Linked DNA regions of Coturnix japonica. The protein of the gene in region 3 interacts with the protein of the main gene of each other region in a pairwise test. Links are inferred from orthologs where the notes say so. Each region holds a gene or a part of one and is shown on either strand. Other genes may lie near its edges. The genes, in order: KIZ, CIB3 and TACC3.

What was found.
Region 1: the proteins of TACC3 (region 3) and KIZ interact in binary tests that used the Homo sapiens proteins (3 or more experiments, as listed by UniProt). The two-hybrid records come from large-scale screens. The link is inferred for Coturnix japonica from reciprocal best matches to the Homo sapiens genes TACC3 and KIZ.
Region 2: the proteins of TACC3 (region 3) and CIB3 interact in binary tests that used the Homo sapiens proteins (3 or more experiments, as listed by UniProt). The two-hybrid records come from large-scale screens. The link is inferred for Coturnix japonica from reciprocal best matches to the Homo sapiens genes TACC3 and CIB3.

What each region holds. Positions count from the first base shown.
Region 1 is NC_029518.1:4,156,518-4,160,165, reverse strand, and holds part of KIZ (centrosomal protein kizuna), read right to left. Parts: intron 2,582-3,648; coding exon 2,077-2,581; intron 1-2,076. UniProt on the Homo sapiens protein: Centrosomal protein required for establishing a robust mitotic centrosome architecture that can endure the forces that converge on the centrosomes during spindle formation. Required for stabilizing the expanded pericentriolar material around the centriole.
Region 2 is NC_029543.1:3,471,567-3,475,940, forward strand, and holds the start of CIB3 (calcium and integrin-binding family member 3), read left to right. Parts: upstream 1-1,556; 5' UTR 1,557-1,671; intron 1,672-2,063; 5' UTR 2,064-2,168; coding exon 2,169-2,194; intron 2,195-2,332; exon of another isoform or gene 2,333-2,354; coding exon 2,355-2,469; intron 2,470-2,781; coding exon 2,782-2,816; intron 2,817-4,105; coding exon 4,106-4,217; intron 4,218-4,374. Other genes in the region: AP1M1 (AP-1 complex subunit mu-1), read right to left, coding at 36-77; protein FAM32A, read right to left, coding at 890-958, 1,057-1,110, 1,189-1,327, 1,399-1,475. UniProt on the Homo sapiens protein: Acts a an auxiliary subunit of the sensory mechanoelectrical transduction (MET) channel in hair cells. Plays a role in regulating hair cell MET channel localization and function.
Region 3 is NC_029519.1:76,062,211-76,065,858, reverse strand, and holds part of TACC3 (transforming acidic coiled-coil-containing protein 3), read left to right. Parts: intron 1-713; coding exon 714-760; intron 761-1,573; coding exon 1,574-1,710; intron 1,711-1,800; coding exon 1,801-1,912; intron 1,913-2,622; coding exon 2,623-2,775; intron 2,776-3,648. UniProt on the Homo sapiens protein: Plays a role in the microtubule-dependent coupling of the nucleus and the centrosome. Involved in the processes that regulate centrosome-mediated interkinetic nuclear migration (INM) of neural progenitors.

The DNA.
Region 1 (3,648 bases), on a different chromosome or scaffold from region 3:
CCTCCCAACATTTCATGTCCTTCTGCGCTTCCCTCGCAAGGGGGAGTTCAGGCAGGCCCTGGCCATGCTCCCAAGTTTGAGTTTGAAACCAGAGCTCAAAACCAGCCACAATCAACCCTGCCATGAAAATCACTACCGCAGAATCATCTCCTACCTCCCCACATTGCCTTGGGAGATGCAAAGAAACAGACAAGCTTGAAAAAGGTTTTTCAGGATAAAGCTTCAGAATAGTTTCCCCGTGTTGGGAGGAGTAGGGTGGGAAATGGAGCAAGGAGAAATACACCTGGAGAGCCTTCTTTCTGACACATCTTCTAAATCTTGCAGAAGAAACACAAGCTTCAGTGGCTTTTATATTCAGCATATTAGTTATCTTCTTGAAATAAGAAGAGCACAGACATAAACTGTGCCTAATAATAAAATTTTTTCTTTAAACAACAAAAATTAAATGGGCCAACCATTGCAGTTGTATATTAGCATTGCCACAGAAATTCCCATGGTTTTGAATGAAACAGTATTCACAGCTAGTGGTACAGCACCCAACAATTCAGCTCATCTCAGGCATAGGTTCCCTGAGGCCCCAATTCTTGAGGGCTGTGACAAATGGCAGCTCACACCAGGACCTTCTGTCCCCATGCAAAGCCTGACAGTGTTGACATGGAAGCACGTAAGATGAAAGACAACATCAGGACAGAAGTTATTTAGGAATGAATAAAGAAATGGAAAAAATAATAATAAAGAAAAAAAATTAAGAAAGGAGGCCAGAAAAAATAAATCCACAGAAGATCATCTGATGGAGATGCCAGTTATTGACTATAAAGACCATGATCGTTACAGGACAGGAGTCCCTTCATATTAGGGTTGCCACTAGTTTCCACTAGGAAAAGCTCAATCTTAGCATTTCCTACATAGCTTGGAAAACTTAAAAGCTAGAAATTGCTGTATCAACTGGCAGGGGAGGGGAAGATATTTCTGCTAGGTCTTACAGAAAAAAAGCCAAAGAAACAGTTACTTAGAGACAAATCTTCATTACTGAGATTTCAAGAACAAGTCTGTTAGCTTACTTCAAAGTGAAGCAGGAAAGAAAACATTTTGCCATGATAGCAAAAGAAAAGGTGAGAAGCAGCCTTTAAGCGCAGCCTTCCATTCTCATACATGTACATCCCAGCTGGAAGACAAGCATCACATCCCTCAAGAAAGTAGGGAACAATTCAGAACAAATAATAGTTAATCTAGTCTCCTGCATGGAAGTGATGATTCTTGGTCTACATTTGCAAATTCACTTTTCAGAACTATTCTGAATAAGCATTTGAAGAATGAAATCAATCCAAAATAGAGATTTCCTATTTTGCCAGTAAATTAAGTTGACATTAAACCTCTTAAAAACAGGCTCAAACAACTTCAAGACAATTGTAGGCACAGCAGTGAAGAAATCTTCGCTTTCTTTTAGCTCCCAAGTTAGACTTGACCAAGCCTCGCATCAACTAGAAAAGCAGTGTGCCTTGGATGAATGAAGGACATTCATTTTACTTTACTGAATAATCATCCAGTGGGGTAGAGATCCCTCTCATATTTGGGGTCCATCTTAAGCAGGCTGCCAGGACAAGGCAGCCTTGTAGAAGGTACTACAGGACTGACAGCAGCGCAAAAGGTCCAGGTTCGGCTGCTCACTGCTAGTTTTTGCTTTACACATCCCCATCCTCCTCCTCTCCCCAGCTTTGGTCTGCTCAGAATGAAAAGCAAAAAGCTAAGACCCTGAAGATGGAGCAGGGGATATTCAGCAGGTATTCTGCTGTCAGGGGTGAGCAAAAAGAGCAGGAGCCTCAAAATGCCCCAGCTAAAGAATGAAAATCCAGCAGCTTTCATCGCCAGTGAGACTTTGATGAAAAACCTAGGAGGAAACAGACAAGAAAAAAAAAGTAGAAAACGAACAAAAAAAGAAGAAAACAGATGAGAGTTCTACTGCTCTTCAACCAAAGTATAAGAGCTGTAGGCAAAAACCCAGCAGCTGCATGCATGTGTGTGTTTGGGATGTGTGTGTGTGCTGCAGCAGCACACTGGAGCAGAGGTTCCACATACCAGAGATGCTGGGCTCAGGGGCAGGTGCCAAGAGGACAGGGTGCTCACAGACTTCTTTTGCACTTGTTACCAGGTGCTTGTGGGTCATCACCTCCTCCACTGATGTATCACTTGCTAAGTCAGCAGTGCTGCTCTGCACACGTCCTCCATTGGGTAATGCTGAGCAGAGTTCACTGGAATTTTTGTCTTCTTTAAAATTCAGAAGACTGCTGTGCAAGCTGCTGTCTCTGATGGGCATCTCCTCCATGGGGAGGCCCAACTTGCCACCTTGCTCATCAGGCTTATTGTCACGCTCCGTGTCACCACCAAATTGTGTGGGATGCCTGTCTGTATCATCACCACGCAAGGTTGTCAGTCTGCTGGGGCAGGCAGCAGGCTGCGGGGGTTCCTGCTGCACACTGCAGGCAGACATGCAGCGGCCTGTGAAGAATGGCACCGGATGATGCAACCTTCTGGACACAGCTGTCTTGACATGAATTCCTGCCTGCCTTGCAGCCTGTGGCATCTGGAAGACACAGGTGCAAGATGGTTAAAGAATCAAACAGGTAGCATGCTGCAAATGAAGCTTCTTGAGGATTGTGTGCTAGTTTCTGAAGGCATAGACAACACATTCTTCTGTCCACTTGCTTTAAAGTAAATGGAAATAGCAAATGCCCTCTCTGTGAAATTCTACAGCCCAATTTGTCATCTGCTCCCACTAGAGATCAGCAAAGGTGGAACCCAATACATCTGGTACAGGTTACCCCATCACATCCGAAAATAAGCACAACTCATTGAAAGCATCTGCCAAAAAATAATCCTTCAATATGGCTAATACTACCATTAGATGATGAGCGCCATCTCCCCCCTCTGCAGGAATAGTGTCAGCTGCCAGCAAGTTGTCATTTCATTCTGTGCACCCTTTTTGTTGGACCAGCTGCAGAGCTGATGCTGGAGTACCAGATCCCACCTCTGACACTGCAGAACCCACTGGTTGCTGAATGAAGCCATAGCCACTAAGAGCCACCCTCCTTGGCCAACACAAGCCAGCGTGAAGTATGCGCTAGAATTTGACTTTGCTTTCCACTTATGTCTTGTCTACTAATGGACCAGCAGCAGCAGGAGTTCTTGGGCATGCAACATGGCAGAGATGGGTCTTGAGCAAGCAACAGGATAAGGAGGGATCCCAAAGAGACTGAAGTCTCCATCTGCCATCATCTATCTATATATCCAGCTCAGCTCACTGCACATTAACATAGCAAGGAAAACTGAGGCAAACAAAAACAAAGCCAAAAAAAAACCAACACAGCCAAACAAGAATTTGATTCATTGCCTTCTGTTCTTTCCTCCAGCCGACCCGCACCAAACAGGAAGAATGAGCTAACAAGCAGGTGGAGTTGTATTTTGCACAAGACAACTTTGGGAACTGAGCAGAAACATTTCAAATGACACTTTCACCCTAGAACTCTGCTGAACCTGCATAAAAATCATTCCAACACTATAAATGCTCCACTTCTACATTCATGTGTCTTGGCACTTTTATTTCCCCCCCCCCCCCCCACTCTTTGAAAGCTTACTCAACCAGAAAAAAGA
Region 2 (4,374 bases), on a different chromosome or scaffold from region 3:
GGTGAAGGGCGCCCACAGCCGCAGCGCGGCCTCACCTTTCCCTTCAGGTCCAGCACGTACACGGCGCTGGCCGACATCGCGCCGCCCGGGGCCGCCGCGCCCGCCGCGCCCGATCACAGTCACAGCGACTTCCGCTTCCGCCCGCCACTTCCGGTAGGAAGCGGCTGCACAAGGTCCGGCCGCGCGGAGGGATACGCGCAGTGATCCGCCGGCAGCGGAACAGCACTTAAGGCACCGATTGCTGACGTTAAGTAGTGCGCGGCCGGCTGAAGTCCGCAGTTAGGAAGGCTGAGGAGCCCCGGGACGGGTCAGCGGTACCAGAGGGAAAACGCTTGGGTTGAATTAGTGTGTGAGGGTCTGGGATGTGATTCACATCACCTGTGAGAGCTGTAAATGCAGCCATACAGACTGCATGCAGCACACCACCCTCACTGCAGGGAAAGGAGCACCGAAATAATGGATAAAAGGAGCTTTTTAATAAGTTACAGTAAAGACATAAGGATTGTAGAATACAGCAGACACCACTGCCCCAACTCAGAGATTTTATATAGGAATTACACAGTTCTGCCACTGATAAGAGCAGCTCATACAATGTAATGCTGCCACAGACTGCTTCTTCTAAGAGCTGCTGGCATAGGACAAATAAAGGAACATTCTCCTGTTGTCTCACAGCAATTGGGTTCAGCTTTGAGCACTGAAAAACACCCCATAAGTCAACAGCCAAAGAAGAGGTTTTGTTGAGTATTTTGAAACTGAAATACGGCAGTACAAGGTGATAAATGTTCCGAAGACATATGAAATATTCAGTATCATGAATACGGAGGTTTACACGGCAGCCCTGTTTGGTGTGAGCACAACTCCTGACCCGAGGCCCCGAAACGCCGCCCGTTCACTTGGTCCAGCTGACTTTGGGGATGTCGTAGTGCTCCGTCAGAGTGTCCAGGTGCCTGTTGAAATCCTGAGGGGCAGCAAAGGAACAGAGCGCTCAGAATTGGAGCATTCACCATCGCGCAGCCCTCCCCACAGCGCTGCCCAGCTGATGGTACTTCCACTCACCTCAACTCTCTGTTTGTGTGTTTTCGAGGCCTTCTTCAGGATCCTCTCCATTTGCTGGAAGAAGACACAAGATCACAGTTATTGCCGTGGGGTTCCGACCCGCCCCACGTCCCGGGGGCAGTGCGGCCCTACCCGCTTCTCCTGCATCTTCTCGTAGGCCACTTGCGCCGGGGTCCGCTTATCCAGGCCGCGCTTCTTCTCCTCTTCCTGCTTCTTGCTGCTCACGATCTGCTCCAGGATCTTGGCCTTGTCCTTCGCTTTCTTCTTCTTCCTGCGGACAGACGCCGCTCAGCTCCCAGCCCCCGGCCCGGCTCCCGGTTCCCCCCTCTCCCTGCCGCTCACCGTTTGCCGGCCCCCAGCCCCGCTCCGCCGCCCTTCAGCCGCAGCGGCCCGCGCTGCACCGCCTCGTAGTCCGCCATCGCTCGGCCGCCCAGCGCCACAGCGACCCCTGGCGGCAGCGCCGTTCCCGCCACAGGGCGCTGAGGTAAAAGCCGTTACAACCCGAGCGGCCCCGAAGTGCCCGGCCACAACCCGAACCTCGAGCCCAACCCACGGTGTTCCACTCCGAACCGACCGAATCTGAATCGCTGCCGCTTGTTTTAAGGCACCTTAAGGGTGAGTGAAGCTGTGCGGCTCCTGTGGTGCTGCTGTTAGTTCCACACCCTACCCTTGTGTTTCACGTTTAACTCACGGTTCTGTTTTCATGTATAAACAATGCAATCTCTTGTATTTTCAGTGTAAAAGCCACATATGGACCTGTATATATGCATGCTTGTCACACTAATGGACATTAACTAGAGATAATGTGTGTTAATGGAGAGATAGAGGGGCTAAGAGGACTTTACAGGTATTGCCCCAAGAAAAGCCAATACTGACATTAGTGAGCAATGCAGTGTGTGTTGTAGCGAAAAATGAGACAAAAAAGATCAGTGGTGACCACCACTGTGACCAGCTCCGAGCATTCAGCGCCAATCTTAACAAGTAAAGGCATTACCAACACTATTCAGGTAATTTGCCATATGAAGGAATGAAGATGTGCTGTCTGCGAGCCCTGCCCGCTGCTGCAAAGGCACAGACCAGAAGCTATTAGTCGTGTGGCTCAGTGCTGTAACATGAGGCTCTGTGTGCACAGAGACAGGTGAGTGATGCTGGATAGGAGCCGTGAGTAGCCAGACTAGAGATTTGATGAAGTGCTCCTATTATGGCTCTTTGTAGCCCATAGAATAGGGAAGCTGGTTACTTGATCCTCTGCTTTACCTGAACCTCATTGTTGCAGCTTTTAATATCTGAATATCCAGGCCTCCTATAAAGGTGACTTTGAGGAAAGAACGATGGGAGAAGAATCAGCGTTCAGAGCCAGAAATGGGCAACAAGCAAACCATCTTCACTCCAGAGCAACTGGATGCATATCAGGTACAAAACAAACTAAATGAGTTGTTAGACAGAACACTGAATAATGGTGTTGCTGTTGTGTTTTTATTTTTATTTTTTTAAGCAATCTGTTTAAAACTTACTAAGTAGGAGAACTGAATTACAGTGAAGATTTTAGTAAGACACTTTAGTTTGGTTCTTACATCAAGAAAAGTGATAAAGTATTCCTAATTATATACAAAATGAAAGGGTGTTAGTGCTCGGCCACAGCATCATTCTATTTGAGTCACTAGTGGAAGAGTCAGGGCCAATGAGTGCTAAAAGCTGCCTTTACAATGATGTCTTATTTCATAGGACTGCACATTCTTCACGAGGAAAGAAATTCTGAGGTGAGTCTTGTGTGTATGTTCTGTGTGCAAAATACAGAGACTGCTACAAAACAGATTGTATGAAAGATGAAGAACACTTTAAAGTAACTTTAAAATGCATTTATACAAAATGAAAGTCATACATTGGACAATCTGAGCTTCTTTCTTTCTTTCTTTCTTTCTTTCTTTCTTTCTTTCTTTCTTTCTTTCTTTCTTTCTTTCTTTCTTTCTTTCTTTCTTTCTTTCTTTCTTTTTCTTCTTTTAATGTACAAAAACTATCTATACAATCTATCATAAAGTAAGCCGGGTTTTAAATATTCAGTGAAGGTAACAGTCTCTACACCATAAATGTAACAGGGCATATTTTTGTGTGTACTTTGCTGCTGACATCCATGTTCCCTTCACTTTGTTTTAGGACAAGTGCTTCAAAATGTACTGTTGTACCTCGGGACATGTTGCCTGTTTTAAGAAATCATTAATGATTGTATCCAATTTGATTCACATTTCCTTCATGTAAATAATTAGCAGTGATTACCCTGAGCTGCATTCTTCTCAAAGCCTTCATGAACTTCGTCAAATACTCTATTTAACCCCTGGCCAAAGGATCTGCCAAAGGCAGGTTTGGTATTCTGGTCCTATGGGACTAAGACTTTTCAGTCTCTCAAATTCAGGCATTGCTTGCTAATAGCTCTGAAGGATGGAGCATGAATAACAGTTTTGTACTGAATATCCCCATTTAGAGCTTTGATACCTATGTATGAATTAAATATTAGATAAAAAATGAAAGATTCCGTAATAACTGAAATTTAAATCTGCCTCTCCTTGTAGTAAGTAGAGGCCAGAGCCATAAGTGTGTCATGAATAAGACATTTATTATTGATAAGAAACCCTTTTAAAATTCTATGCTATTGTTTTGTTGATGACAGCTATGAATGGGATCCTCACACACACAAAGGGATGAAGAAAATTGCAAGCTGACAAAGTACTAATACATCCAGATGACTGTGCATACATTCTGTCTCCTGAATCTGGCTGTGATGGAAAAAAAAGAGATACTTGTGGTGAATAAAAGCCTGTTAAGTTGTTCTGAAAGCACGAGGGCTTTGTATTTATCACCAGTTACACTGTGTTGCTTTTTTAATGTTGCCTCTTCCACTAATGTCTACTACAGAGTATGATAAATGTGACTTAGGGACTGATACCATCCTTCTGGTAAAGGATGCAGAGTATGAAGAACAGATAAGGCAAACACATTGTTCTCAAAGGTCTCAATAACTTGCTCCCTGAATGAGCCTTCCTTTCTCTTTCAGACTATTCTACAGATACCGAGATCTGGCCCCGCAGCTCGTCCCACTCGACTACACCAATAAACCAAACGTGACACTTCCCTATGAGCTCATTGGCAGCATGCCAGAGCTGAAGGTACAGAGCAAGGAGCACAGCTGGAATCAAGTGACACGAGCAGTTTAATCTACCATTTTTAATAATTCATCCAGTACTAATTACTAAGGGGATGAAATACAAATAAATTTTGCTTACTAAAGTCAAACCTTTCTGGAAACTTCTAATGATTTCCTGA
Region 3 (3,648 bases):
GTATAGATACAATATTGTTGGAGCTTTGGTGGCAGTTCTCTGTTTAACTATCTGTCCTTAAAAATAACTTCTGATATTTCTAGTATTAAGGGCTTTCTAGATTGAGAGCACTAGAGCTATGCAACTACCTGTCACTGAGTTGTGTAGGTTATTCAGAGGGCTTGCAGTACTGATTAATCACTGCAATGTGAATGGTCTTTCTGCACTTACATGTGTGTCTTGAATGGTTACCATATAGCTGTAAAACACCTGGAAATATTCCTTGTAGGATTGTTGTGTGGAAGGATGTGCAAATGATTGAAGTACAGTCTGACACTTATATTAATACCTAACTGAGATCAGTACATTGAGAAACAGTGACATCTTCATTGTTCAGCTTAAGCTATTACTAATTTTAATGATGTGATTAACAGTCATGCTGTTTTGAGGCACTGTATAGAAGAGAAAAATGTCTGAGTATGCTTGATGCTCTAATTGTGGAACAGCAGAATTTCTTGCAGCTATTTGGGGACAAATAGTGGCTATAAATTTAGTTTAGAAAACTGTCAAATGTTTTATTTTCCAGTTTGAGTTAGTTTTCCATCTGCTAAAATAAAACACCTCATGAGAATAGAGTTATACTTGCTGTATGCACAAGCATATCTGTTTCAGACTGTAGATGTTTCTGTAAGAAACAGTGAAGATACAGTACTGTCATATAATTTATTTTCCAGTTTTCGGAATGGGCATAGACTATCTGGAGCAATTTGGAACTTCATCTGTAAGTATGGTATTGAAATGTTTTGGTTTCTTCCCTGACTGAGGAAAAAGGAAATTGTCAGGCCTTAAATGTTGTCATGAAGTAGCTTGGCTTTGAACTTGTTCACAGAAATACAGGTTCTATTTCACAGGAATGTGTCTATAAGGCATGGAGTGGTGGGGAGGAAATGTGGTTATAAGTAATTTTGCCTAAGGATCAGAGGTCCTGTGTTTCCAGTTTGCAGAGGTGCTTTTTTTTTCCTTACGCTGGTGAAGGACAGATGGATGATATTCCCATCGCTGGTTGCCAAAACAAGAAGAGAATGAAAGGTCATTGCTTTGAAAAGTTTTAAGCTCCTCTGTTTTATGGGCATTTTCAGGAAGTCTGTCTCTAAATTGGGCATGTCATATTTCAGTCAGTTTAGCTCTGTGGTTTTTTCCCCTGCTTTGAGCCAGAGTAGGTGTGGCTTTGAATATACAATGAACATACTGAGCTGAAAGTGTTTTTTAGTTTTGTGTTTGTCCTGAGACTGCTTGTTCAGCTTACAGTGCCATCTTCATCTTTTAGCATCTTCTGCTGGTTTTGAATAGTTAATATAAACTTGTCCTTTTGGTTTTATCTATGAACAGAGGACTGAGATCACTTGATGTTACATAAGGACTTAAGAACTCAGTGCCCACAAGCCTAAGTATTTTTCTCCAGCAAACAATGCTCTGGCCACACAAGAATAGACTCACCCTCCCTCTGGAGGACTATTTGTGTGTGGGGAGGGTGGGACGGTGGGAGCTTATCTACAAAGCAGCAAATCTGCCACTTTGTGCCTTTTCTCCTCAGTTCAAAGAGTCTGCTTTGAGGAAGCAATCGTTGTATTTGAAGTTTGATCCTCTGCTGAGAGACAGTCCTAGAAAGGAACCAATTTTAGGTACTACTGAAGCAAACACGAATATCATGACTGCTCCACTTCAGTGTGGGTAGGTATTGATTTAATCTAGCCTGTAGTGAATAGCTTTGCAAGGAAACACAGCACTTAAATATAATCGTATATGTTTGTTCATTTTTAGCCCTATTTCTGATTTAAGCAATCTGCTTGAAGAAACTGAGAAGCCTGCATTAAGTCTTCAAAATGAGGAAAAACCAAAAGGACTAGATCTTCTAGGAACATTTACAACTTCTGTAAGGATGTCTGGAATTATGTGAAGTTTCATGTTGATAATTTGGGGACGGGGGTCAGCTGGAACATGGAGTTAAGATTTATGCTGAACTTCTAAGGATTGCAGAGTACTTAATGCTTATTTAAACTGCCATCTTAAAGAGGTTGGATACCCACTATATGAAGTTGAACTTTTGATGTACTTAATATTCTAGTATAAATTTTCTTGTTTGTTTGAAGCTGGTGGTGTTACACATGGTCTAGTAGGAGTTTCTGAACTGTTCTTAAGAATGCTTTAATCAAAGCAATCCTTTGCATGTTGCTAAAGCTGTGAAAGAAAGACAAGCTTGTGTTTTAATAGAACTGCTGAGATGAGAAGTGTTTCACTGATTAAATTTGATGCCATACAGTATAAAACTTAGAGCAATGAAAACACTTACATGAAGTGATCTGTGCATAGTTTTTAAACCTGAAAGGTTGTTTACTGGTGGGGAATAGCATGCTGTCTGTCTTGTTTCTGATTGTTAGAACTGGTGGATAGCACTTCATTACACCTTTATTATGTTGTCCTATAGTATACCAACAAGGTAGGAAAGGTAATGGTAACTAATTTATGGGTGTATTTTAGGATGAAGATTCTTAATATATGGATTTAGTATTAAATAACCTTCAAGCAGCTAATGACTACATGAAAATCAGAACCACTTAGAACTCAATTTTTGTCTCTTTACAGGACCCTGGTCCCATAATTCCAGACTCCCTGGCATGTGATGTTTCTCCACTCCCTTTTATTGCTTCCACAAACACTGCAGTGGATGCTATTGTAGATGTGCTGAAATATAGTCAAAAAGATATGGATGCAGCTGTTGAACTGGTTAAAAGAGAGGTAAGGTGACCCTTGACTCTGTATTGCCCTGAAAAATCTCTTTTGTTTAGATTACCTTTTGTAGGTTTCTACACTTGGCAATTCTATCCATCATACTTGACATCAACATCTCATCCAGAAAAGCTTGCTATTGCTTGATAGGACCAGTAGGTATAGAACTATTGGTTTTGCACTTGGGCCGGAAGAACCCCAGGCACCTGTACAGGCTGGGAGGAGTGGTCCTTGAGAGCAGCTCTGCAGAGGAAGACCTGGGGGTTCTGATGGACGAAAGACTCAACATGAGCCAGCAGTGCACTCTGGCAGCTCGGAAAGCAAATGGGATCCTGGGCTCCATCAGGAGAGGGGTGGTCAGCAGGGATAGGGAGGTGATTGTCCCTCTCTACTCTGCTCTTGTGAGGCCCCATCTGTTGTACTGTGTCCAGGTGTGGAGTCTTCAGTACAAGAAAGACATGGAGATTTTGGAAAGGGTCCAGAGGAGGGACAGGAAGATGATCAGGGGGCTGGAGCACCTCCCCTATGAGGACAGGCTGAGGGAGCTGGGTTTGTTCAGCCTGGAGAAGAGAAGGTTGCGGGGTGACCTCATTGCAGCCTTTCAATACCTGAAGGGAACTTACTCCCAGGAGGGGAGTAAACTCTTGGAAAGGGCTGACAATAGCAGGACACGGGGAAATGGTTTTAAGTTGAAAGAGGGAAGATTTAGGTTGGATGTTAGGGGGAAGTTCTTCACTAGGAGAGTGGTTAGGTCCTGGAACAGTCTGCCCAGGGAGGTTGTGGATGCCCCGTCCTTGGAGGTGTTCAAGACCAGGTTGGACGGGGCCCTGGGCAACCTGATCTAGTAAAGGTGTATGTTTGGTGGCCCTGCCAGGCAGGAGG